2 linked regions of the Danio rerio genome follow. The protein of the gene in region 1 interacts with the protein of each later gene in a biochemical or structural test. Links are inferred from orthologs where the notes say so. Each region holds a gene or a part of one and is shown on either strand. Other genes may lie near its edges.

The links.
Region 2: the proteins of myo5b (region 1) and rab11fip2 form a complex in vitro, tested with the Homo sapiens proteins (2 studies listed by BioGRID). The link is inferred for Danio rerio from reciprocal best matches to the Homo sapiens genes MYO5B and RAB11FIP2.

What each region holds. Positions count from the first base shown.
Region 1 is NC_133196.1:23,907,319-23,919,924, reverse strand, and holds the end of myo5b (unconventional myosin-Vb), read left to right. Parts: intron 1-1,604; coding exon 1,605-1,698; intron 1,699-1,777; coding exon 1,778-1,909; intron 1,910-1,989; coding exon 1,990-2,141; intron 2,142-4,212; coding exon 4,213-4,302; intron 4,303-5,202; coding exon 5,203-5,353; intron 5,354-5,432; coding exon 5,433-5,727; intron 5,728-8,345; coding exon 8,346-8,520; intron 8,521-8,604; coding exon 8,605-8,685; intron 8,686-10,775; coding exon 10,776-10,928; downstream 10,929-12,606. UniProt on the Homo sapiens protein: May be involved in vesicular trafficking via its association with the CART complex. The CART complex is necessary for efficient transferrin receptor recycling but not for EGFR degradation.
Region 2 is NC_133188.1:22,751,593-22,765,620, forward strand, and holds the start of rab11fip2 (rab11 family-interacting protein 2), read right to left. Parts: upstream 7,533-14,028; 5' UTR 7,337-7,532; intron 5,070-7,336; 5' UTR 4,817-5,069; coding exon 4,464-4,816; intron 1-4,463. UniProt on the Homo sapiens protein: A Rab11 effector binding preferentially phosphatidylinositol 3,4,5-trisphosphate (PtdInsP3) and phosphatidic acid (PA) and acting in the regulation of the transport of vesicles from the endosomal recycling compartment (ERC) to the plasma membrane.

The sequences.
Region 1 (12,606 bases):
AATATATGATTTTTAGCCGTGGCCGCACTAAGTCAACAGATCAGACTATAAAAACTCTGAACGGTGTTCAAATAGAAAGAGTTAGCTTTTATAAATATCTAGGAGTTTGGATTGATGAGAGATTAGCCTTTGATATACATATTGACAAGTTACTGAAAAAGCTTAGGCCAAAGTTAGGTTTTTTATACCGGTCAAGAAATTGTTTTCCTTATAAAGTCCGCAAAAAATTAGTAGAGAGTACATTTCTGTCTATAATGGATTATGGTGATCATCTCTATATGCACGCAACCGCTACCCTATTAAGAAAATTAGATTCTGTTTATCATGCAGCAATACGTTTTGTCACAGGTGCAGATTCACGGACGCATCACTGTATTTTGTATGATTCCTTAGACTGGTTATCTCTATATCAAAGGAGAAAATTACATCTGTACTTATTTATTTTTAAAGCTCTTTTAGGTAAATTACCATCCTATATTTTTAATTTATTAACATTTCACACCAACAATCAAAATACTAGATCTGGTTCATGTATTCGTCTGATAGTTCCAAGGGCATTATCAGAACTTGGCAACGTGCTTTTTCCGTTCACGCTCCCAGGGCTTGGAATGACCTGCAAAATCAGCTCAATCTTGACACTCTTCCGACTCTGAGTACTTTTAAACATCTTTTATACAACATTTTAAAGGACACCTGCATTTGTTTGTTATGAGCTGATGTTTTTAAGAATGGTGATTTTGTAATTTTGTGGTATTGTTTGTGATTTTTATATGAAACTTTATGTGCTGCCTGCCATCTTGACCAGGTCTCACTGGAAGAAGAGACAGTACTGTCTCAATGTGATCTCCTGGCTAAATAAAGGAAATACATAAATAAATAAATAAATATGTTAAAAGAATTTATAATTTTTTAAATGTGTATATATATTGCCATTTCTGAAATATACATATTTTTTATCATCAGAAACATTATGTGACTTAGTCCATTCATTCATTCATTAGATATTTTTCATCAGCTTAGTCCCTTATTTATTAGGGAATATATATTTTACATTTGTTTTAAGCATGAACGTTTAATTTAGGTTAAATTAAGTTTAAACAATTTGTCAATGGGGTAACAAAAAAAACCTTGAAAAGGTAATATTGTTCTACAATAATATTTGCTGTAATAAATCTTTTTTAAACTGTTATTAAATTTGCCTGGTTTTAAGTGTTCCTAAATTTCAAAAAGGAATGCAGACATCATTGGATTGGTCTCCAAGAGTGTGTTACATGATAAAACGTATACATTTAACACAATATTAGATTAGATTCAGCTTTATTGTCATTACACATGTACAAGTACTAGGCAACGAAATTCCAGTTTAGGTCTAACCAGCAGTGCAATAGCAGCAAGTGCAGGAGACAGGTATACGTTATAAATCAGTTGTCATAAAAATAAATCAGTTGTCATAAAAATATCATCCACATGCATAAATGTAAAGAAATATGTAGTTTATTTGTTTATATTTTAACCATTTTAAAAAGAGCAGTGAAGTTAAATTTGTATCCTACTGACAAAACATTGACCAATAATAATATGACTGTGATGATTTTGTTATGCAGGACCTAAAGGAACTCGTTGAGAAGTTGGAAAAGAATGAGAAGAAGCTGAAGAAGCAGTTGAGGATCTATATGAAGAAAGTGCAAGAGCTGGAAGGTTAGATGTCTACCTTTGCTTTGTTTGTTTAACTTTTCCTTTAATACCAGATGCTGATTGGCTGTTTGTTTTTTTGCAGTGACTCAGGCCACTAAAAGCAGACCGGAGCTCACTCGTCAGTTCACTGTCCAGAGAAGAGAGAAGGACTTTGAAGGCATGCTGGAGTACTATAAAGAAGATGAGGCCTTGCTGGTCAAGACTTTAGTTACAGGTATGTGTGGTTGGATGCAGACAGGTTTTGAATGTAGAGGCTTAGAGTTGGCATAAATACCCAAGTGTTGTTTTTTTTAGACATGAAGCCCAACGCTGTGTCCGCCACTGTCCCCTGCCTCCCCGCATACATCCTCTTCATGTGCATCCGTCACGCCGACTACATCAATGATGACCAGAAAGTTCATTCACTACTGACCGCTACCATCAACGCCATCAAAAAAGTGCTGAAGGTATGAAGCACATCAGCTCACTTCCAGAATTCACAGCATACTTAGTTTAAGGGCTGTTCATACCAAGCACAATAACGAGAAATATATTTGTGTTCATACAGATTAACGTTAATGATCTGTTTATTTTTATATTATTCCTTTAATCTGGCATTATTCCTTGTAACCAGCAGGTGTCCTCATTGTGAAACTACTCTATCTGAACACTATTACTATAGACCGTTTCAATGTGGCCATGTTATTGGTCCATGAACATTTCCTGCTTGTAATCTAACTTTTTCATAAACGTAACAAGAGGCAATTCAATCATAACTTAATGTTAAAACAGTGATCATAACATTATTGATCAACGTGTCTCTTTTTGGATTCTCAGGGGCTATAGAAATTAAAAATTTGAAAACAAGATATATATTTGGACCATTGTTTTTTGTTTACATCTCTCAAAATGGGCTTTACTACTGTATACTTTAATTTATCAGCACGCCTTTCATAACTTCCATGTATTTTTAAATTATTATATTATGTATTATAGCCATTTGCTTCCATGATAGTCGTTATCTCTAAATAATCTTTTATTAAGGGATGTGCTGTTGGGGATGTTTTTATCCACTCTGGGGTGTTTTTGATTCTTAATTTGGCCATATTTTTTTCCTTGTTTCAGCTAGTGAAGTGATTTTGGTGACAAATCTTTTTTTGACACATATTTTGAGAAAATGCTTTGAAATTAAAAAAAAAAAACTCAACGATACACTCTTGCCACATTTACTACATTTTTTATATGTTTGCATAAATCTGTTAATCAACCTCAGTCTTGATCAAAACTGCTAAATTGTTTAGAAAATTACTGGATTTTAACTCTTTAATTGCTAAATTCGTAAATGATGTCACTGATTTGGTGGAAAAAAACACACAAAATGGCGTATTTTTAATATAAAAAGTTATGTGGACTGGATTTTTTTAACCGTTTATCAAAGTGCTGGACATGTAAAACAACGTTGTCTTTAATTCATTGTTTTTGATTGATTTACATTTTTTCTCCCTAGTTTACTGTTGGTGGCTGTTTTAGCCACATTGACTTTCATTACAACCACATTTATTGATTGTAAGGCCATGACATCATAAACATACGTTTGTGATTGTTGGTGGTTTTCTCTGTTGGGAAGAGGTAAAATTTGTAGTTTTTACTGTTGATCATCAGTTGACACCAATAACCCTTTAAATATGCCTGTGCAAAAAAAGCTTAGTGAGTGTGTGAGAGTGACCTTTGTGCACTTACCTTGATGTGTCTGAGAGAATCAAAATATGCATCTCAGCTCTCAGAACTACATGTAATAAATAAAACCAAGAAAAATAAATCCAGTCCACAATTACTTTTTTAATATTGAAAATATGTCATCTTGTGTTTTATTCACTAAATCAGTGATGTCATTTTTGAACACATAAATTTTAAAAACATTTAGTAGTGTTGATGAGGACTGAGGTTGACATTCATCAGCTGGGATAAATCATTCTGAAAGAGATCCCAATAATATTGCTCCTCTGTATCTATATGCTTGTAAATGTGGTGGTGGGAACTCTGCTATTCTTTAAAACTGTAAATGATCTTTATAATTATCGTGCTTGATGTGAACAGGGCATAAGAGTCATTAACAGGATAGTTCAACCAAAAATACTATTTACTCAGCGTTTACACTCCCTCAAGTGACTTTTTTTTATCTTGTAAACACAGATGAAGATGTTTTGAAGAATTTTGGAAACTGTGGAGGTCAATGGCCACTGCTTTCCAAAATTCTTCAATCTTCTTTTGTGTTCATGAGAAGAAACTCAAACAGGTTTGGAACGAAGTGGAGGAGTAAATGATTACAGAACTCTCATTTTTGGGTGTATTTCTCTTTATGAAAAGTTAGAATTTGTCAAGTATTTATTTAATTGATCAAAATTGACAGTGAAGACATTTTTTAAAAGTTATTTTTAAATAAATGTGATGAAATCTTACCAATCCTTAAACCTTTAAACAGTAGTTTGTAAGGCAATAATTATAGGTTATCAATCGTCTGTTTTTTTGACTGTCTAGAAAAACAACGATGACTTTGAGATGACCTCCTTTTGGCTGGCAAATGCAAGTCGACTTTTACACTGTCTGAAGCAGTACAGCGGCGATGAGGTGAGATTTTAGACTTTTTACATTGTTTTATTTATATATACTGTATATCTGATTATTTAATTTTGTGAATAGTAACTCAAGCTCCTTTTACCCAATTTTATTTGGTCATTTTGCAAATAAATAAGCTCAAGTGATGCTTAAAAAGTTGGCTTTTAAAGACCATATTAACCCAGTTTTAATCTTTGTGTAAAGTTTTTTTTATATTTTTCTTAATCTACATTCTGGTGACAGTTACACTGTTTCCACCTCCTGGTATTAACATTCAATTTAACATTTCTATGTTATTGTGCAAGTATTAACAGGAGGTTGATTGAGACCGTTTCTATATGTATTTAGCAGATTGAAAGTAAACTACGGCAGCTGTAATAACACAAATAACAGATTAGATTACAAATAACAGCAAAGTAGTTGTTTTTCTTGATAATATGTTACAAACCAGCTTCAGATGTCAGCAATTCTGTTGCTGTCTTTTCCTATCATGAGATAAATACATCTCATGTATTTATCCTTTCCTTTTCTGACTGTAAATGTCTGGTCGCTGGAATCATGTGGACAAACACAGTAGGGTACCAAGCCCTATTTGTTAAAAGTTGATATACATGAATCTGAATTATAGAGTGTCCTATGTGTATCACCCATGGCTTTCCGATCTTTGTTTATTTTTTTAATAAACAGTGTGAGATGTCATGTGATGTTGTTCATCTGAGGTGTTATCTTTCAAATTTTAAGACCTACCAAGCAGTTTTTTTTAATGTCTTGAAACTAAAAAACCTGAAATTCAATAGGGTGTCTTTTTACACGACTGTAGTTACTTAAAATAAGCCAATAGTCCACAGGGGAGCATCAAAAATAAAGTGTAACCAGTGCTCGGTATGATTTGCCTGTCTAATTCTGTCCTAGGCGTTCATGACCCAGAACTCTGCCAAGCAGAACGAGCACTGCCTGAAGAACTTTGACCTGGCGGAGTACCGACAGGTTCTGAGTGACCTCTCCATCCAAATCTATCAGCAGCTTGTGAAAGTTGCCGAGGCCAACATGCAGCCCATGATCGGTAGGTGCAGAGAGACACCAAACCAAAGAAGATTGATCATTAGCACAGTACATTTTTTCATAATGAGTGTGTTTTGTAGTGTCTGCCATGCTTGAGAGCGAGAGCATCCCCAGCCTGGCCGGAGTGAAGCCCATGGGTTACAGGAACCGCTCCTCTAGTGTGGACTGTGAGAGTGGAGGTCCCGCAGGATACACGCTTCAGGCACTGATCAAACAGCTGGCTCAGTTTTACTCTACCATGGCGGACCACGGCCTGGACCCTGAGATCAGCCAGCAGGTGCTTCGCCAGCTCTTCTACTCCATCAACGCAGTGACCCTCAACAACCTGCTGCTGCGCAAGGACGTCTGCTCCTGGAGCACCGGCATGCAGCTCAGGTACACATTTTTAATGCTTTTAGGCTAATTAATATTTTTCTCAGCAGTCATCATAGTTAGGTAAACTTAAAGAGCAGTGAATGGGTTTAATTACAGCCACAAAGTCAATAAGGGCTTTAAAATGTGCATTTGTATTAAATGTTTGATGTAATCTTAATCAAAATATAAAGAGAGGGTGGGGCAAATAGTAGCATGATTAGCATGATAGTAGCATAAGCTCTTTTTTTAAAAACAGCCAATAGCATTTCGTTTTCATTACAGCTCTGCCTTAAATAAGAAGCGCTTTGAAGGTGGTAGTGGGGGTGGCGGGGGCATGTTAGATACTAGAGCACATTTGATTGGTCAAGATTTGGTAAGAATCATTGAAAAAAAACGTTGATCCATTTAGACGGAACTGCAAACTGCAAGCTTTGGGTGTTTACGTCAGGTTTATATCATCTAAACATGAAATTCGTCAATGCTTTGGAGAGCACTAGACATTTAACACTAACATACTGATACTAACACCTGAAAAACATTATTTGCCAATGGTGCCAATAGCCTAGTGGTTTTTGCAGCAACATGTTGCACTGAGGTACTCATGGCAACCCAAGTTCAAATCCCGGCTCGAGATCCTTTGCTAATCCTTCAAGTCTCTTTCTGCTCCCAATGCTTTCCTGTCTAAAATCTCCACTGTCCTATCCTAATAATGGTGAAAAGCCCCTAAAAAGTAATAAAAAAAAGAAAGATATTTTGCATGTTACCTTGGTGAAAACCCTATGTAAAGCATCATTTGTTTGTGTTTATCTTTTTCTTTGATCATACTCTGGAGTTTAAACAGGTCTTGGTAAATTGGGTCTTGTAGATGGTTTGTGATGTGTTTTTTTTAGTCCTGGGCAAAAATTGATTCATCTCATCTAAACTAAAAGTTTGTTTTGACATTTGAATTTAAGTGTGTGTATATTTATTATGCATGTTCTGTGTAAAAACACATGCCTGCATAAATCTCACAAATTGTTTATTTATATTTAGATTTAGTATATACAAATAGGTTCATAAATATTTGGACTTCGACACAATTCTAACATTTTTGTGTTACAAGATGTGCTTTAACTGCAGACTTTTTACATCTAAATCAGGTGAAAGCTGTAGGAATTACAACCGTTTGTATATGTGCCTCCTACTTGTTAAGGGTCCAAACGTAACTGGACAATTGGCTTCCAAGTTGTTCAATGGCCAGGTGTGTGTTATACCCTCATTATGTCAATTACAATGAGCAGATAAAAGGTCCAGAATTCATTTCAAGTGTGCTATTTGTATTTGGAATCTGTTACTGTCAACTCTTAAGATGAGTTCCAATGAGCTGTCATTATCTGTCAAGCAAGCCATCAATAGGCTGAAAAGAAAAACACCAGAGAGATAGCAGAAACATCAGGTGTGGCCAAACAACTGTTTGGAACATTCTTAAAAAGAAAAAAATGTCCCAGTGAGCTCAGCAACACCAAAAGACACGGAAGACCACAGAAAACTGCTGTGGTGGATGACCAAAAAATTCTTTCCCTGGTAAAGAAAACACTCTTCACAACCGTTGGCCAGTTTAAGAACACTCTCCAGCATGTAGGTGTATTTCTGTCAGAGTCAACAATCAAGAGAAGGCTTTACCAGAGTGAATACTGAGGGTTCACCACAAGATGTAAACCACTGGTGAGTCTCAAAAACAGGAAGGCCAGATTAGAGCTCTAAAAAAGCCTTCACAGCACTAGAACAATATTTTATGGACAGATGAGACCAAGATCAACTTGTACCAGAGTGAAGGGAAGAGAAGAGTATGGAGAAGGAAAGGAATGGCTCATGATCCTACACAGTGAAGCATGGTGGTAGTAGTGACATGGCTTGGGCATGTGTGGCTGTCAAAAGAACTGGTTGTCTTGTATTTTATTGATGATGTGTCTGCTGACAAAAGCAGCAGGATGAAATCTGAAGTGTTTCAGGCAATATTTTCTGCTCATATTAAGCCAAATGCTTTAGAACTCATTGGATAGTGCAGATGGAAAATGACCCAAATAAAACTGCTAAAGCAACCAAAGAGTTTTTGAAGTGAAAGAAGTGGAATGTTATGCAATGGCCAAGTCAATAACCTGACCTGAATCCGATTGAGCATGCGTTTAACTTGCTGAAGACAAAACTGAAGGGAAAATGCCCCAAGAACAAACAGGAACTGAAGACAGTGGTTGTAGAGGCCTGGCAGAGCAACACCAGTAATGAAACCCAGTGTTTGATTTTAAGTTTGATTTATGATTATTATTCTGTCTAATTACTTTTGGTCCCTTAACAAGTGGGAGGCACATATGCAAACTTTTTGATCTCAAATACCCTCAAATTAAAGCTGACAGTCTGTGGTTAAAGCACATCTTGTTTCATTTCAAATCTATTGTGTTGGTGTATAGAGCTAAAAATGTTAGAATTGTGTCGATGTCTAGTTCTTTTTTGTTTGTTAATTCTTGCTTCTTTCTAATTTTGTTGCATTCTTTGCATAGGTAAAATATGTCAAATGTGAAACCTTTTTGCAATCTTTGACTTCAAGAAAACATAATTGACTAAAAAAAGTAATGTCAGATGAATGTAACGTGTGGTTTCAGGTACAACATCAGTCAGCTGGAGGAGTGGCTAAGAGGGAAGAACCTGCACCAGTGTGGAGCTGTGGCCACTATGGAGCCGGTCATTCAGGCCGCGCAGCTGCTGCAGGTGAAGAAGAAGACATCACAGGACGCTGAAGCCATCTGCTCGCTCTGCACTGCACTCAGTTTACAGCAGGTACACATTTAGCTTTCATTTTTTTCCTTTCTATTTGTTTTGTTTTGTTTTTACTTTTATTAACTCAATTTTGCTCTATCTCAGATTGTGAAGATTCTGAACTTGTACACACCACTCAATGAGTTTGAGGAGCGAGTCACTGTTTCCTTCATAAGAGACATACAGGTAAAATGAAGCACACATACATACATGCACTTATAAATCAAAACATTTAAGCATTCCATATTAAAAACAATGAAATTTTGAGGTCACAGCACAAGTTACAGAACATACACCTGCTTGAAAAGTATAATGCTGCGTCCCAATTTGCATACTATCCGCCCTAAATAGTATTCGAAATTAGAATTAGTATGTCTGAAACCATAGTATGTTGAAAAAAGCATGCCAAAGATTCCCGGAGTGTCTACTATTTCTAGTAAAAATGCGAAATGTAGAACTGTCCATAGTCTCACCCAGACCTGGCCATTTTACGGCCAGTGAAGTATTTATTTAATTTAAATTCAACTGCAAAAAGGGCCTTTCAATGCACAGGTCTGATATTGCGAGTGAACAAAAAGGGACTTTAACATATAGCATCTTTTGCCCTCTCAGTTTCATTATTTTAAATGGAGACATGCCTGTTCAGCGCGCAAATACTGTAGGAAGAGATACACATGTGGTATGTCACGCTCACGTTTTCCAGGCGACACGGGTTGAAAAAAAATCTAAACATTTCAGTGCAGCAAGCGAACCACAAGTCATGTGAAAGGAACCAACCAGGCAACTTCACACTTTGTATAGAATTACACAGTAATAAAAGTAGACTAATTACCTCAGATTAATGGTTTAACAAATGCAGATACAGATCCTCTCTCAGTGATGATCATTACAGCACATATCCACCTCACATTGGCCTGAATTCAGTGCGCTTGTTCAGCCCAACTCAGGCTAGAATTCTCTAAGTTAATATAAAAATTAAGGATAAATAAATAAAATGTACCTAAGGTGAAGCAATCAAATTATGAAGGGAAAGAAGTAGAATGTTATGCAGTGGTCAAGTCAATCACCTGATCCGAATTCGATTGAGCCTGCATTTCACAAAACTGAAGGGAAAATGCCCCAAGAGCAAACAGGAACTGAAGACAGTTGAGTAGAGGCCTGGCAGAGCACCACCAGCAATGTAAATACCCACCGACATGGAACTTTCGCCTGTGTTATGGTACCTTGTTGCAATTTTAGTTTCCCTAACGGGATAATAAAGCAGAGTCTGAGTCACTGTGGTGTTGATGTGAGAGTGACGTACTGCATGTGTATCTCTTCCTATTTGCGCGCTGAACAGGCGCATCTCCATTTGAAATAACGAAACTGAGAGCGCAAAAGGCATAGCTAAAGTCCCCTCGTGTTAACTCGCATTGTCAGATCAGAATGAATATTAACTGAAGTAAAGCAATCAATCAAACAACCCCGTGGCATTTATATGAAGTCAGTATTGTGATGCTGCTCTTTAAAATACTTTTTATTTAAAATTGATTCTTTTTTAAACGAGAGTTTTTATGAATGTTAATTGAATAGTTTCACAGAATGTTTTTATTTTTTGAAAACAAATACCTGTATTGGTCTAGCTTTCTATACCCCCCAGAGTCTAATGTGGACCCTGGAAAAATTAGTTGCACACCCCTGCTCTAACCACTAATATTGCCCCAATACAGTGTGCATTAAATTTGATTAGTACTACAAACTTGGGTAAAAAGTGTAAACAAGCTACAAACATGGACGCACAAGACCAACTGTTAAGTAAAGGGGCTTTGGTTAAGAAGTTTTAATGACTATGAGTTAATTTCTAGCCAACTTTAAAAAAATGAAATCACGTTTTCCATGTTATAGTTCATCTGCAACACCAATATGAACTTCTATAAAAAAAATTAACATATTTATCCAAAGAACTAAGGAGATTTTCTGCATGAAAAACTTGCGAATGTTAGATTAACCTGCTTCTGCATCTTCAATAAGGTAGATCATTAAATATGAAAGAAATGATTGACAGGGGACCTACTGTAACTAACTAAGCAACAAGACATCCATTAATGAAGAAGTAATATGTCCCAAAACTTGCATACTCTTCAGTTACACACTCAAACGTATGTACATTTTCTTCACAGAACAACTACATACTTTAAAGACGTAGTATAAGCATGTGAATAGAGACTAGAGTATGAATATTTTCTGATGCCTTCTCGGTGCGATTATCTGATGAATACGCTCACTGTCCTTCACAGAATCGCCTCCAAGATCGAATAGAAAACAACCAACTGCTGGCGGACACGAAATACACCTTCCCCGTGCTCTTCCCGTACACTCCTTCCAACCTCAGCCTGGAAACCATCCACATCCCAGCCTCCCTCAGCCTGGACTTCCTGACGCGGGTCTGACATCTCCGTCTCTCTGTCTAACACTGAGCTCCGGCACAATCAAACCTGCAGAAACCAGAGCTGGCCGGACGCAGATCTGCTAATATAACCCACATACTAACACCACCAATTCGACCTGTGGGTACTTTAACCAGATGAACCGTCTTCTCCCTGACCGACTAACTGTGGTGTTGAAGTCTGATGAACTATGCGGTGTAAATAAGCTGTCTGCCTTTTCACTCACTCCCTGAACAAAGTGAAAACGCTGTATTTTGGATGGGGATGCGTTTGACTAATACTTATGATTAAATGGAAATGAAAATACGAGGGTTTTTGGGCTACTGACACTAAACACTAATACCAGAGTGTGTGTTCGTCATGTATCTGTGTTAGTATGCACTGATTTCTGTGTGTTTGTAATGGAAAAGTGTATTTTATTTTTCTTTGCTTGTGCTGGAGTTTCATCTCAGAAAACATGGACTCCTACTGAAGCAGCGCCGCCATCTTGTTTTTTATTTTCTAGGAGAACTTTTAAAATGGGCTCCAGAGATTCATTTCCACAGAAGACGCTGGAAATCTCTGCATTGCAATGGCTGTTTCCACTGTGACCAATCTGGATTTGCTCTGAACATGGTGTTTTCATGTTTTTCCCATGTGTTGAAGAATCTGATGCAGAGACTCGGGGCCCTGAAACACAGAGCCAAAGGGATAGGGCAGATAGTGAAAGTGTCATTGAAAAGCGGAAGTATGTGAAGCAGAGAGACTCAGGACGTCGAGAGGAGTTTGAGCTGGGATATTTAATATGCTGTGGAAATCAATAATGGTGGGATTGTCGTCTGTCGGTGGAATCTAGAATGTGCTGCAACCACAATTTTTAAAAGATATCTAATAGACGTCTAATAGACATCTTAACAAAGTCGTCTTGGCTAAAACAAGGATAAATTTGCGCTGTTATACACCTCTAAGAATAGGCCAAAACTAGACTAGTCATCAAATAAACAGAAATGAATGACTGCACATATAAAGTCTGTCTAATCTGTCAACTTGACAACAATAGTTTTGGGCTATTCTTAGATGTCTCTTAGATTTTCACTGACGGCCCAAGTTTAGCCTTGTTTAGCCAAGCTGTCTACATTTAGATGTCTACACTGCAAAAAATGCTTTTCTTGCTTAGATTTTTTGTCTTGTTTCTAGTCTAAATATCTAAAATTTCTTATATCAGGAAGCATTTTTTAGACAAGCAAAACATATTGCCTTGATTTGAGAAATAATATGCCAATATTAAGTCAGTTTTTCCTTAAAACAAGCAAAATAATCTGCCAATGGGGTAAGGAAAATAATCTTGTTTTTTCTTTTGATGTAAGATTATTTTGCTTACCCCATTGGCAGATTATTTTGCTTGTTTTAAGGAAAAACTGACTTAATATTGGCATAATATTTCTCAAAACAAGGCAATATGTTTTGCTTGTTTAGAAAATTCTTCTTGATTTAGGAACTTTTAGATATTTGGACTAGAAACAAGACAAAAAATCTAAGTAAGAAAAGCATTTTTTGCAGTGTATTAGACGTCTATTAAACACAAATTGTTTGCTGGGCAGGTTGTGATGTAGAAATGTATTTCAGGAGGTGTCGTTTAAACTGGCATAAGTACAATAAAAGGCATTCTCAAAACTAGCAGGTTGCGATTTCACGAAAGCAA
Region 2 (14,028 bases), on another chromosome or scaffold:
GTCAACGGCAAAGTCAGCATACAGCACATAACTTCCCCTCAAGGGTGTGAAATCACAGGATTACTGACCAAATAATACCTTGCATTGACTGTGAAACATAGACAATGATTAGGAAATGAGAGGTGTACGGATGCATTAATTTTACAGTAAAGCGGTCATCAAATGCATCTTCACTTTTTTGTTTCTTAAGGTTGTTTTATTATAGCACCAAAAAACATCTAGTGTTTGTTTCCCTTGTTATTATTCACTCTCTCCCGAAAACATTTAATTTAAATGGCTGTTACATGTGCTGGAAACAGAAGTAAATTGAAAAACTTCACTGCACTTCATCCACACCATCTTTTCCAGCTCGACGTTTGCTGTGATCCATACAGAGCCATGTGTGAGTTGGGTGAGGCAGAAAAAAAACAGAGAGCACAACCCCAATAACTTCAATAATGTGTTTTGGGGTACCAATTGTTTTTGTTGGTTAAATTTGTGTAAAAGAACTATTTTTTTAGACAAGTATGATTTTTCACTTATTACCTAAGATGCTGCATCTTATTCAACTGCCAATGATAAAACCTTTGCTTTAGCTTGCAACACCAAATACTAAATAAAAACTTGAACATACAGATATTTTAATAAATGTTATTTTAATATCTCCACAATGTTAAGTCTGTTATAATATGTTAATTAGTGATATGGATCAATGTATTGCGCATTATGAGAAAGGTAATTGAACAATTGCATTAACATTTACATGTTCCCAAATACCCTAATATCTGTTTATTGAATGATGATTATGATCTAAACCTAAACACTTCCCAACGCAGGATATTTCATACTGCACTAACTGCAGCCAAGAAAGTTATATTTAAAATATGGCATGAACCCTCATTCCCAGCGGATAAAATGTGGCTTATTGAACTAAAAAAATATTGCACTGTTAGAACGTTCCACTGCAAGAATTAACAGAGCTAAACCCCATACAAACAAAGCATGGTCCGATTTTATTGAGAAAATTTTTAGTTAATTAAATAGTTAACTAGTTAATTCTCACCCCAGAGCTTTTCTTTTTCTGTGTATTGTTATTCATTTATTATTTTATTGTCTTTATTTTACTATTATTATTTTTTGTAATTTCTTTATGTATTTTCATTTAATGCAAACCCTGGCTTGTATAAAGTTGTTGCTAGCTATGTATGCTGGCTTTGTTCTGCAATAAATAAATAATCATAAAAAAGAACATTTACATGAACTTACATGATTAACTGAACAATTAAGACAACAAATAAATCTTGGATTTTTTTTATAACGATCATTTAAAAAACAGTGTTTCTACCTGGATTAGGTCTGTTATATAGTCCCTCAGGTTTTCGCAAGTCCTATGGTTCTCAAGTTCAAAAAAAAAAAAAAAAAATCACTAAAGACCGTGTTTTGACACCTATTATGCTGTGCTTCTATTTTAGGTGTGACTTTTTAACATTCTGTAAGGAGTCTACAGATAAAAAATAGCCATTCTTGGCTAATTGTGGCACATTTTACAGTAATGTTTATTAATGTGCATTGACCCTGTAAACAAATAAACTAAACTAAAATTTGACCATTAAAGCGCACATTAAGATGACTTTAGATGTGTGTGCTCTGCTCATCTCTGACGCCAAGTGCACAGTTTGCGAATGAGACCAAATGCTGACAGCATGTACACACACACAGCAGCATGCAGTCTCATTTGCGCTTTTAAAAACATGAATTCCAATGTTCATCAATGAACAATGCGCATCTCGTGCTGCAAAATTACATTACAGTACATGCTTTTAGTCATTTTTTATGTGAAACTGAGCTTTGCAGAGCAACAAATGTGTACAACTGGAAAAGGGCAGTATTTGATGCAATAATCGTTTATCTCCATTATTGGTTTTTCATAATCGTTAGTAGCCAAAATCAAAATCGAAACCGAATTTTCGATTAATCACTCAGCCCTAATGTATTGTTCTTTAAACTACTGTATAAAAAATCTAAATCTAAATTGTGATTGCGCTTGTGCACAGACGATACAGTGTAACACCTCTTTTGCTTTTATGATTTTACTTGAATATATCATATTTAATAAACTCATATAAGGATTTTTTTCTGTTCACAATACTTGTATTAGAGGCTCATTCAATACATTCATGCTACCTCACATAGTTAATGCTTTTGTTCCACTAAGATGAGTTCTGTTAGACACCGGCACTGCCTTTTCTACTTCAACCAGCCATACAAGTTTCTGTCCTAATACTCTAATAAAACACTGCTAGTCTGTACATGCATGCCAAAAAAGAGAAATATTAAATATTAAGACTTATGAAACACCCTATATACATAGGTTTTGACAGCCTACTGTATATCACATCTAACAAAACAAGGAAGTCAGTCACATGGATTAAAAAACCCAACAGTTAGTCATCAGGCCCTAAATAGCAAAGAGGAAAGTAATAGCATGCATGATAATCGTCATCCTCACTAGACCAGTTCATCCACCATGGGACTGTGACTCAAACTGAAGTTAAATGGAGCCTTTATCTCACACAAGAATAAAAGCAACCTGCATAAGACTGTTATAGTAATGCACAGCAATAGCATGTTCATAACTTAAAACTCAATGACAACAATGAGAGTCAAAAACAAAGATCAGAGATTACGTCAGAGGACTAGGTAAAACATTATCTGAATGTTAAAAGAAAACTGCATCACTGAGTGTTACAAGAGCTAAAAATAGCAAAGTCACTTCAAAGCCATTTATTCTGCTATTACTGGAGTATTATTGACTGACCTGGCTTCAATGTGCTGACACGCATTACCTACTAAGGTCTCTGTAGATATCAGAGTGAGACTTTGAGGTCTGTTCTCATAAAGGTAATCAGCAAAATCTAACAAGAGAGATACAGACAATCCAAAACTATCAGTAAGAACTGTGATTTTACAACAATTTTATGAATTGTGTAGATAAAGTAATAACTGCTATCACAGGGCTGGCCGATTAATCATAATGAAATTGCATATGCAATTTAGATTGTCATGTACATTCAAGTGGCAACCTCCCCCTGTCCCTCGTGAAGCAAATACGGAAGTAACAGAAACTGCAATTCATCGAAATCCTGCTAGTTTATTCCACTATTGTGGAGCCACAAAAGAGCAGATTTCTATTGAGCCCAATGTTAAAATGGCCAAATTTACAGCAGAAAAAAAAGGTGTTTACAGCCTGGTACAAAGAAAGATTTTGGTTCATATAGCTAATATCACCCTTCATGACAACTGTGAGGGGGTAATTTTTTTAAAGCTCATTCTTTTTGTTCATATTAAATTATATTAAGTGAAGTCTGCAAAATTAAGGGCGGGGCCACTTGAGTGACAACTAGGTCTCGCTGGTCACCTTAGCTGATTCCAGCTGATTAGCATCTGAACTCGTCATATACATCATATTTTTGTTTTGTTTTGTTTTATGTAGCTTTACACAGTCATTTGCATTTTGGAATTATTTCTTACAATTATCAGATGATATGGCATGCTGTGTGCACTAAATTGTGCTCACAAAGCCTCCATTATATACTTGTATACCATCTCTATAAATGTATTTGCTTTATTTAAGATGGTCCGCTCATGCTCCGCCTCGTTGCCATTGTTTGGTATCCCCTGGTCGGTGCGATGACGCACAAACAAAAAGGCAATGGTTGGCCACGCCTACTTGTAGCTTCTTTTGCTTTCTTCAAAAACCTATGGTTGACGTCACGAATACTATGTTCATATCTTTTACAGCTTATGTGTACATCTTCTCCATGGTTGTGTGATCAGTAGCAAATATAAAAAAAACTCATAAACCCAGGAAATCCACATAGCATTGCACTGTTAATAGAAAACTAAACTGCTTTGAATCAGTCTAATACTGATTTTAGTCTTTGATGCTGCCTTATAAACCACACGACTACGGAATCATCTCACAGAAGGATTTATTTCAAACACTCGACTGATGATCGCTGTTATGTAGCAGGTTTGGAGTAAAAACATAAATTATTACGGTATTATTAGTATTTATAACACAAAAGCAGACGTCATTTTCACAGAACGATTATAATGATGTCAGTGTCATTATCATCCACCTAAATTGATTTTAGCTTTGAATGTTATTATACGCTGTCAGTGTTATACGGCTCTGTATTAAATGCTGCTCCATCTAAAAGCATGTGCTGGAGGTTTAAATCTAAATTTGCATGAAAATGACCTTCGATTAATCGCCCTGCCCTATAATACCATAAAAACGTCACTTACTTCACTGTTACCATGAAATGTACCAAAAACCAACACAGACATGGAGTATCATATTCCTCTTTTAAGCTATACTTCTGCTTATTTAAAGGTATGTTACAGTTGGGTGTTTCTACAAGACTTTTGTCTGTAGACTATTAAAGGAAATGGATATAATGAAAAATTAAACTACTTACTCAGTTTTTCGCCGCTCCTTGTTGTCGAATATCTCATTTAAGTTAATGAGTTTTTGGCCCAGAAATTTGTCCAGTCCCACTAAGGACCTGTGCATGACTGTGAGGCAGAGCTCATAAACCTCTGGATTGCTCTCCATTAGCAGCCCTGGAAGCTCAAATGAAGCCTCTTCCCTCCACGCTGGGTTCAGGGTCTTCTCTGCCACCGATGTGGAGTATTTTTCTTTGCCCAGCTGGATGATTGTGTAGGCATCATTGGTTCCATTCTTGCCCTTTGGTTGCAGGTCTGTGGCTTGGAGAACAGTGGCTTGGACATGGGTTGGAAACCACTTTTGCGACTGTTCGCCCAATGACATGATGAATTCAAGTGTAAAATTATGGACTTTGGTGTGAAGTGATGAAGTGTAGAACTTTAGTTTGGCCTTTCCATTTTTCCTTTAGCTTCCAATCAACAAGAAATGAGCGACTGAGAGGTAATACAAACGAAAGTTGTTCAAGGGCAAGTGAAGAGCATATTTAGCATTACAGTCACATCTATTAATGGAGCAGGTAATGATTTTGTTACACTCCGCAAACACTCCACATTCACCCCGCTTCAACTTAGGTCACCTATAAACAAAGACAAAAGACAGAAAACAGTGTGAAAAAAACAATAGTGCATTTGACTTATATTTTTCAATATAATGTTAATTCATGATAAAATAAATATTACTTTATTTATATTTCTACAACTATATTGTACAATTAGTATTGGATTCATGTTAAGTAAACCATTTACAATGTAGAGATTGCATTAAGGTAAAACAGAAAGAGAGAGACAAAAAAACACCAAAATAAATCAACAGAAAATAAATAAAAGTACAATGATATTATATTGAATTAAGATAGAATTTATGTCAATAACAATGATAATCTCTGGGGGTTTTTTTACTCTATATCGACCTAAGAGCCAATCACACAGCAGAAATGTGCAACAATAGAGCTCAGGCAATAAACAATATCATATCTAATCATGATAAAATGTATGTCAATAACAATAATAAGCTCTGGAAATTTTTACTCAATATTGATCAATGCAAAGAGCCAGTCACACAGCTAGGCATGGGATGATAATCATTTTCAAGGTATACTGCGGTTTGAAAAAGTCAAGGTTTTAAAACTGGCAACATTTTTTGTATTACCATTCTTAGGTATGTGTAAGATTTTTACTTTACATTTTTTGTTTTGTTTTTTAGGACAACAGTTTCTCCAGCAGTTAAAAATGTCCATTAAATTTTGCTGTTTTAAATTGTAAAGAAATCTGTGTTTTTGAAACTAATGAAGACAGCAGAAGTCAATGATTCATTTAAATTATTTACCCTGACAGTTTACTGCTCTGAAACATTTTTAAAACAAAAGTATATATTGTGTTCAAAAGGAGAAAAAAGTTCTAGTTTTTTTTTTTTTTTTTTTTTTTTTTTTTACCCAGACAGTTAAAAAGAATAAATTTTAGAGCAGTGAGCACAACACCATGATACCCTGATATATCCAAGGTTATCATACCATCAGAATCTTATACCGGCTCATGCCTACAGCACACATATGCAACAACAGGAATCTGTAATTGTGTTGATATTAGGGAAATGCAACCTCACTCAGTATTGTTTATCGAGCTTGATTAACTTTCCCACTAGCAGTATTAGCTCTTAAACTGTTGCTTATTTTAATGATGTATATTTTTACAATTTCAATTAAGTAAAACATTTATTTAAAAAAAAAAAAAATCTGTAATTGTTCATTTTTAGAAAATGCAATAAGTATCTTTGTTTGTGTACTCTATGTCAACGACAGTTCTTCAAAATATTATATTTCACATTGTATATCATAAGTATATTATACAACATTGGAATCTCCAAAAAAAATTGCATAATGTGTCAACTGTTTTTGTTAATTAATAATACTTTAAAATATAATTTAATGAAGCGTCTAATCTTTGTGGCTTCAGTCATTGTTGGGATACTCTTTAAAACAGGAAGCATTAACAACTTATATCAAAATATATATCGTTATTAGTCAATATGAAAAATATTTGAGATTGCAATATTGACATATCGCTCAGCCCTATACAACGAGAATCTAAAGTGTGCTCATGTTGGAGATGTATTGAATTTTCAGTAGCTGAAAATATGTAATTTCATTTAATGCATTTTAGGAATGTTGGGCTGAAATTGCTTAGGGCCCCCAAATTAATAAAACCCCTGACAAGTAAACAAATAAATAAAACACAAGAATAACATAAGAAAAAGCAGAGTACTTCTAACAAACAAGTGAGACATAATAGGCAACACAACATACGTAAATCTGAGACTATATAGCAATTAATAAATCAAATAAAATTTATTTCCCCACAGTGTGCACATAAATTTGTAAAAATCAAATAGACTTAAATTATGTTGCCACATACAGTATACACACAGAAGTATATACTAGTAAAACATATATAGCATATAGTAAAAATATTAAGTAAAAAATACATAATTTCAGAAAAATAACGCTAAATGTGTGACAGCCATCTGTAAACAACTATTAGTAACGTAGCTTAGTAGTGCAAGTTTTTTTAGTGTCTGTAATATAACATTTAAAGAACTGGCAAATTATAACAGCTACATAATTTATTTACTTTTATGTCACTTTTATACTAAGGATTTTTTTTTTACCACCACATGAAGATGATGATCATCATCATCATCATCTTCTTCATGGTTCCCTCCATGCGGTCTCCTCTTATTTAATTGATCGGATATGATAGAAAAGCACCAGTGATGCTCGGCTAGCTGCATTGCCCAGTCTCAGTGGTGCTGTCAAACACCCATTCAGCACAATGCTCTGATATTTACCTGTGAAGCATCTTTCTCGAGCACAGCGAGCGACACCACAGCACGTGTGAAGAGCGCTACAGTGAAACCCTTTCAGTTCTCCACATCTGCGGTAAATGTAAATTAATAACTTACTCTAATCGACACTAATTCATCTTAAACAAATGTGTGGTATTCCACATCAGCCCTGCTCTCGACTTCCTGCTTCCTCATTTCCGCCGATGCGGTCATGGGTCGAAGTGTAGACTCCTCCTCTGTTGCCATGGATTTGATCAGCGCTGTTCCCGGGATTCCGGTGACTGGGCTGAGGAGCATTATTTTCAGCAGTGCGCTTTTGCTTTTGCTTTCAACCAGGTCAAGAATTTAAAAAAGGACAAATGTTGTAATGCATTGTATAATATTGCCAGTCAAATGTTTAGGAAAATTGAAAATACTAAAATGGTCCTTTATATTTTTATTAATATGTATATATATATATATATATATATATATATATATATATATATATATATATATATATATATATATATATATATATATATATATATATATATATATATATATATATATATTATTATTATTATTATTATTATTTTATGTTTTGAGCTCTCTTCTGCTCACCAAGTCTGCATTTAGGCTACTCCAAAATATAACAAAACGAAAACACTGAAGTATCATTATGTTGGAACATTTTCTTTTAAATGTTCCATTTTATGTTTTTCATGGTACTTTTATAAATACAATGTTTAAAATAACAGTGATAATTTCATATACAATATTTTGAAACATTACAGTATATAGGTTTAATGGCAATTTTGATTTATTTAATGTGCCCTTGATTATTAAAATATTTTGAGAAATTATAATAATGTGACATTGGGGTGTTGATATTCATCTCTGAATCACATGAATTAATTACATTTATTCTAAAATGACAATTTATCTTAATTAAAAAAAAAATTTCATTCATTCAATAATTTTCCTTCGGCTTGGTCCCTTTATTCATCAGGGGTCACCACAGCGAAATGAACCGCTGACTTATCCAGCATATGTTTTAAACAGCGGATGCCCTGCAACCCAGTACTGAGAAACACCCATACACACTCAGATACACTAATACACTACAGCCAATTTAGTTTATTCAATCCACCTATAGCGTGTGGCTTTAGACTGTGGGGGAAACTGGAGCAGCAGGAGGAATCTCACACGAACATGGGGAGAACATGCAAACTCCACACAAAATCGACAACTGGACAGCCGGGACTCGAACCAGCGACCTTCTTGTCATGAGGTGACAGTGCTAAACACTGAGCCACCGTGTCACCCCAGGAAAGAAAAAAAAGAAAAAAAAAATACAATATTACAATTAATTTATTGTGTTTTTGATCAACTAACTGCAGACTTTAATTATTTTCCAAATTACTTTAGTAACAACTAAATGGCAAAATATGGATGAAATTTTCCATCATTATAATGTTAAAACTACTTAAAACGGGGGAGCTCAAACTTTTTCCTTATAAAGGGATGAAAAGCCAAACTTGATTGAGGATAGTGGGCCGAAGGTCAATATTAGTTGCTTTAGGTAACTTCCTAATTTATTTTATAATATTTTAAAATAACTAGAAAACTTTGCTCTTTATTAACTATAACTAATACCGCATGTTTTACATTTTATAATGAACTTATTAAAGTAAAAACAAAATCAATCTTGTGTATAACAGAATGGAGTTACACTAGTTTTTGCCTTGATTTGCTCACCGATGTCTTCTGCATATTCCTCTATTTATCAAGTGAAATTAATTACATAATAAAAAATCTAATACATGTACAACAAATAATCAAAACATTTTTTGGTAGCTCAGAAATAAAACAAACAAACAAGAAAATGGTACTGTCAAATTAAAAATTACCATCTCATTTAAAGGCATTCACCCCAAACCTCTTCATCAGTCTCACTCTCTTCTCAGATGGGACGATGGGCCAAATCAAAAGTTACAATGCACCATATTCGGCTTGCGGGCCCTACTTTGGGCATCTCTGACTTAAAATAACTCTTTTAATGTCATGAAATGATTTTATGCCTAAAAAGATTTTTTGATGTACTCTTAAGTAAATCTAAATGAAGTTGTAGTGGACACTGTCTGTAAACCGAAAGATAATCATTTTTTTATCTAACTTACAGAGAACATTTATGTTGCATTTGATTAAGCTTGAAAACCGGATTTCCAGTTATTAGCATTATCAAAGATTAGAAAAAAAATCAAATGATAAGAATTACCTCTGAATATTTCTTCTGTCCCATCCTCAGCCTATCTGAGATTCATACAATGTCTACTCTTGTAGACAGTAAAGTCAATACATGTCTGTTGGGGTCTCTTAACAAAACTAAACAGACCAAACATGTTAACATAATGCCTGCCAATGTTCTTGAGTGGAGACATTGAAGTACTGATAAGGGATACATTTAAATACAGACGTGTGTGTGTGTGTGTGTGTGTGTGTGTGTGTGTGTGTGTGTGTGTGTGTGTGTGTGTGTGTGTGTGTGTGTGTGTGTGTGTGTGTGTCACCCACTTGACAGGTAGAACCTAACCAAACACACCTGCTCTTTCATTTTATTCATTTTCTGTCTCCTTATCCCCATCATCCTGCCATAACCGCAGAGTGTTGTGTACATACCAGAGTCAGAGGCATGAGTCTGGCACATTCGTCACACATAGATTATAACTCTTATCTGCAGTGTATCTCAGGATGAAAATGGGCCTGGTGTGGTGAAATATTAGGTCATATAAAATGCATTTAAGACAGCTTAAACTGAGGAGAGGCCCTTGCCTGTGCCATTTCCAGTTAAGCCTCATTGCAAACACCAGGAAGCAGCTGAGGAATCAGAGCGGAAGATTGTCTCGTCTTGCATGCAATACTTGAAGGTGCTTTCACAGTCAAAAGGAGCCATGTTTATTGTCCATGTGTATAGCCGTTTCTTGTTTGTATCACTCATTTGATTATTTTATACATCACTGAGAGAATATCTGTGTATTTCCTGTGGAGATGTTTTCAGTCACTCTTTATTTATTAACCCTTAAAAGAGAAATGCTAATTCATCAAGGAACTAAAGAAGAGATTCCTGTGGCTTTTTTAAAAGTTGTTTACTACTGTATATGTACATTTGGTTTCACACATAAATCTGGACACACTGCTCAGGCTAACACTAGTATGGAATTAGCCCTATTCAGATACAGAGTGTGTTTGCATGAAATTCATTAAGAAATGCAAAAAACTGAATTACTCACTGAATAATTTAATCAAACATGGCTATGTATAGTAACTAAGTATACTGATATACTAGAAACTATACAAATGGACTGCAGAGTGTTTTAAAGCAAGTAACGGAATTATCCACTTAAAGGTGCAGTTATTATTTTTTTTTTGTTGTTGTTGTTATGTTATGTATTATTATGTTGTTTTTGTTATTCCAATAATAATGTTTAAATTAAATGATCAAAATTTATTTATATGTATTTTTATATTCTTGGTAAGGCATAAGACTAAAAAATGTTCATCCAATTAAAAATTGTCAAGCCGATAATTCCCATAATTCTGATAAGAAGCCTAAACTAACTGTCAGCAAATGTAGATTTGTACAACTGCGCACCCGTTCATGCAAATCTGCCGATGTGTGTTCATGCGCCGTGGACACGAGTGAAAGCGGTAAAAACAAATGTTGAATTAAAACTTTTTAAAATCCTGAATTAATATTGGAGTTACTTTTGCACGCTGCAGGAAGGATGAAAATGTTAAGCCACTTAAAACTTCAATTTCAATTTCTTACGCAAACTTTTACAGCATCAATAATGTCATTTTTTATTTAGTTTCACAACAAAAGTAAGTAAATTGCGATATTCCACCTAGCCTGCTTTACTGAGCTGAGGTTTTATATTCACATCGGTTCATTTTTGAACAATGATGACACGGCCTCTTTATTGCTTACCATACTACTTTGAATATTCGATTATAAGTATAATTCATTAATAAAAATAACGTTATAAGTATAATTCCTGCACCCTGCTGGCCAACCACTGAGCATACAGTAGTCGCTTTAGGAGAAAGTGCATAAAATATTGCACATTACGTCAAGTTTTGCTTGCTAACTACACAACTGAAATCATGCTAGATATAATACAGTATTTCATTCAGAACTGTAGTATTATAAAGAACTATAAAGTTTGCTAACTGGCAAATGACATGATCTAGTGAGTCTCCGGCATCTTTAATGTACGCGTTCGCGATTTTAAGAAGTGTTGCTTTGGACGGCAGGTGAATGTATTTGAAAGATATTATGCTAACCGGTTAGCATTTAGACAGATCACCAACTGCACCTTTAACCTATTCATTCAAACAAGCAGGTTCATTCTAAAGTTAAAGAAGTGACAAAGTATTTGAATCATTTACTCAAACTCAGCTCACAACTTGCTTTTTCTTACACTAAAAATGCCTACAATTAGTTTTTTTTTCGAATCATCTTAACTTTTTAGCCATCTCTCAATCTCAACGTGAATCAAACAAACAAAAAAATTTAGAACTGTATGTGTAACAAAAAAAAAAAAATAATAATAATTTAAAGTAACGTACACTCATTTGTTGTCATGACTTTTTGTCATATTCTTTTTTACATTGTGTATTGTATGAGTAGCATGATCTTCTCACAGCAAGAATGTCGCTGAGCCCCGGCTGGGGTCAGTTGGTATTTCTGTGTGGAGTTTGCATGTTCTCCCTGTGTTCGTATGGGTTTCCTCCGGATGCTCCGGTTTGCCCACAGTCCAAAGACATGCGGTATAGATGAATTGGGTAAACTAAATTGTCTGTAGTGAATTAGTGTGAATGAGGGCGTTCACTGCATAAAACATATGCTTGAGTTACCGATTTATTCCGTTGTGGCAACCCCAGATCAATTAAAGGGGCTGAGCCAAAAAAAAAAAATGAATAAATGGTTGAATATGAAAGTAGACATGTTCAGATAAGTTACTGAATTATTCACTCAACCTGTTCATTTAAAAAAAAGTATGGAAGTAGGATTATTAATGTGCAGAGTGTTTACATGTAACCTACATTATCTTCACTTAATCTCCAAACATCATCTTTGCAATCCACTTTGTAACAATTCTTTATAATAAAAGAGAGAATAATATTAGTATAAAAACATCACTATTACGTGTTGCAACAGTTCTGCTGTGGCTTTTTTAATCTATTTTTGTTGGCGGAGCAAAAACAGACAAAGCATAGACAGATAGAAAAGATGTTTTTTTTTTTTTTTTTTTCAACTCTGTACCATAAATTCAGTTCTCAATTTTACACTCTTCACTTTTACAGAATCTCATGGGGTGGAAGAGGCTCACGGCTGTAAAGAGACACCACCAGGGGTCATGACACCAATCCTTAATTTGACAATTTGTTAGACACTTTCATGTATTACCTTCTAAGACCATAATACGCCTGTGCGCCTCTGGAGTGGGATAAAAACATGAAAGGCTCTTACATTCCAACCTCACCTGCTTCCTTTTATTGTTCTCCTCTGATAGAGTATATAAAGGAAAAAAATCCATCAAGTCATAAATTAGCCCAGAGTAACGTATGGCCTCAGTCCACTTTTCCAGAGGAATGATGTTGTAGCCCATAAACTGTCCAATATTCAACAGGACCCTGTATTGCATATCAGCAAAGGCCCACGTGTTGGCCTGTATTAGGCATCATCTTTATGGGCCCGAATCCTCTGTAAGGTCTCTCGCCACGGTCAGACAGCTGGTTCTGCTTTAGAGCCCTTTCTTCAACACTATATAGGTTGTTTTACATTTATTAAACACGTTTAAGCATCTCTGGCTGCAAGATTGCACATCTGTTAGCGCACGACAATATATATGCGAAGGGAGCACCAGAAGGTGAAGGGATGCCATTGTAACATCATAATGCGCTTCAGGTTTACGCTCGGGTTGCGAGATTGATTTAAAAGGCTCTGCTTTTAAGAGAGGACATTCAGATTACAGATGAAAATTTAATAATAAGAATGAAAAAAAGCAGGAGAGAAGAGCACAAATCACTGCCGGCGCTTCGCTCTGTGGAATGTTAGGGTGTGCGATGCGCCCTTGATATATAGATCTGCAGATGTGCATGTAGCCTGTGACGGTATTTTGGGGCTTGCAGCTGCCGAAAAGTCCATTGTGTGGAACAATACTTCAAGAGTGTTTATTTGAGTATCACTAAAGGCTATCACCTCTCACCCCTTTTCATAGCCGCGTTAAGTTAGGAAGTTGCACTTTGAGCACTGAGAAAACCTCTGAGGCCGAATCATGAATATGATGGGTTTGAAAAAAATGGATTAACGTTGTCAAAGGTAACATTAAGATATTTTATGAGAGCACATTAATCTTATCTTATCTTGTGTCAGCACAAATTCTCTTCATGATGCAACTAACTGAAAGTATTTTGTGCATGTTCATATTCTGTCTGAGGGATGAGGATGTTGAGGTTAGTGTATATTTGTATGACTCCAAACAAATGACTGTATGTAAAACAACAAATAAAAACTTTAAGTAACATATTTTTTTCTGTTTCATGGGTTTAGAGAAGTGAAAAATGATTTTGGGCTATTTCACCAAAATGTTTTTTGTCATCATGTACTGTACTCACCATTTAAACCCGTTTGACTTTCTTCTTTTGAAAAC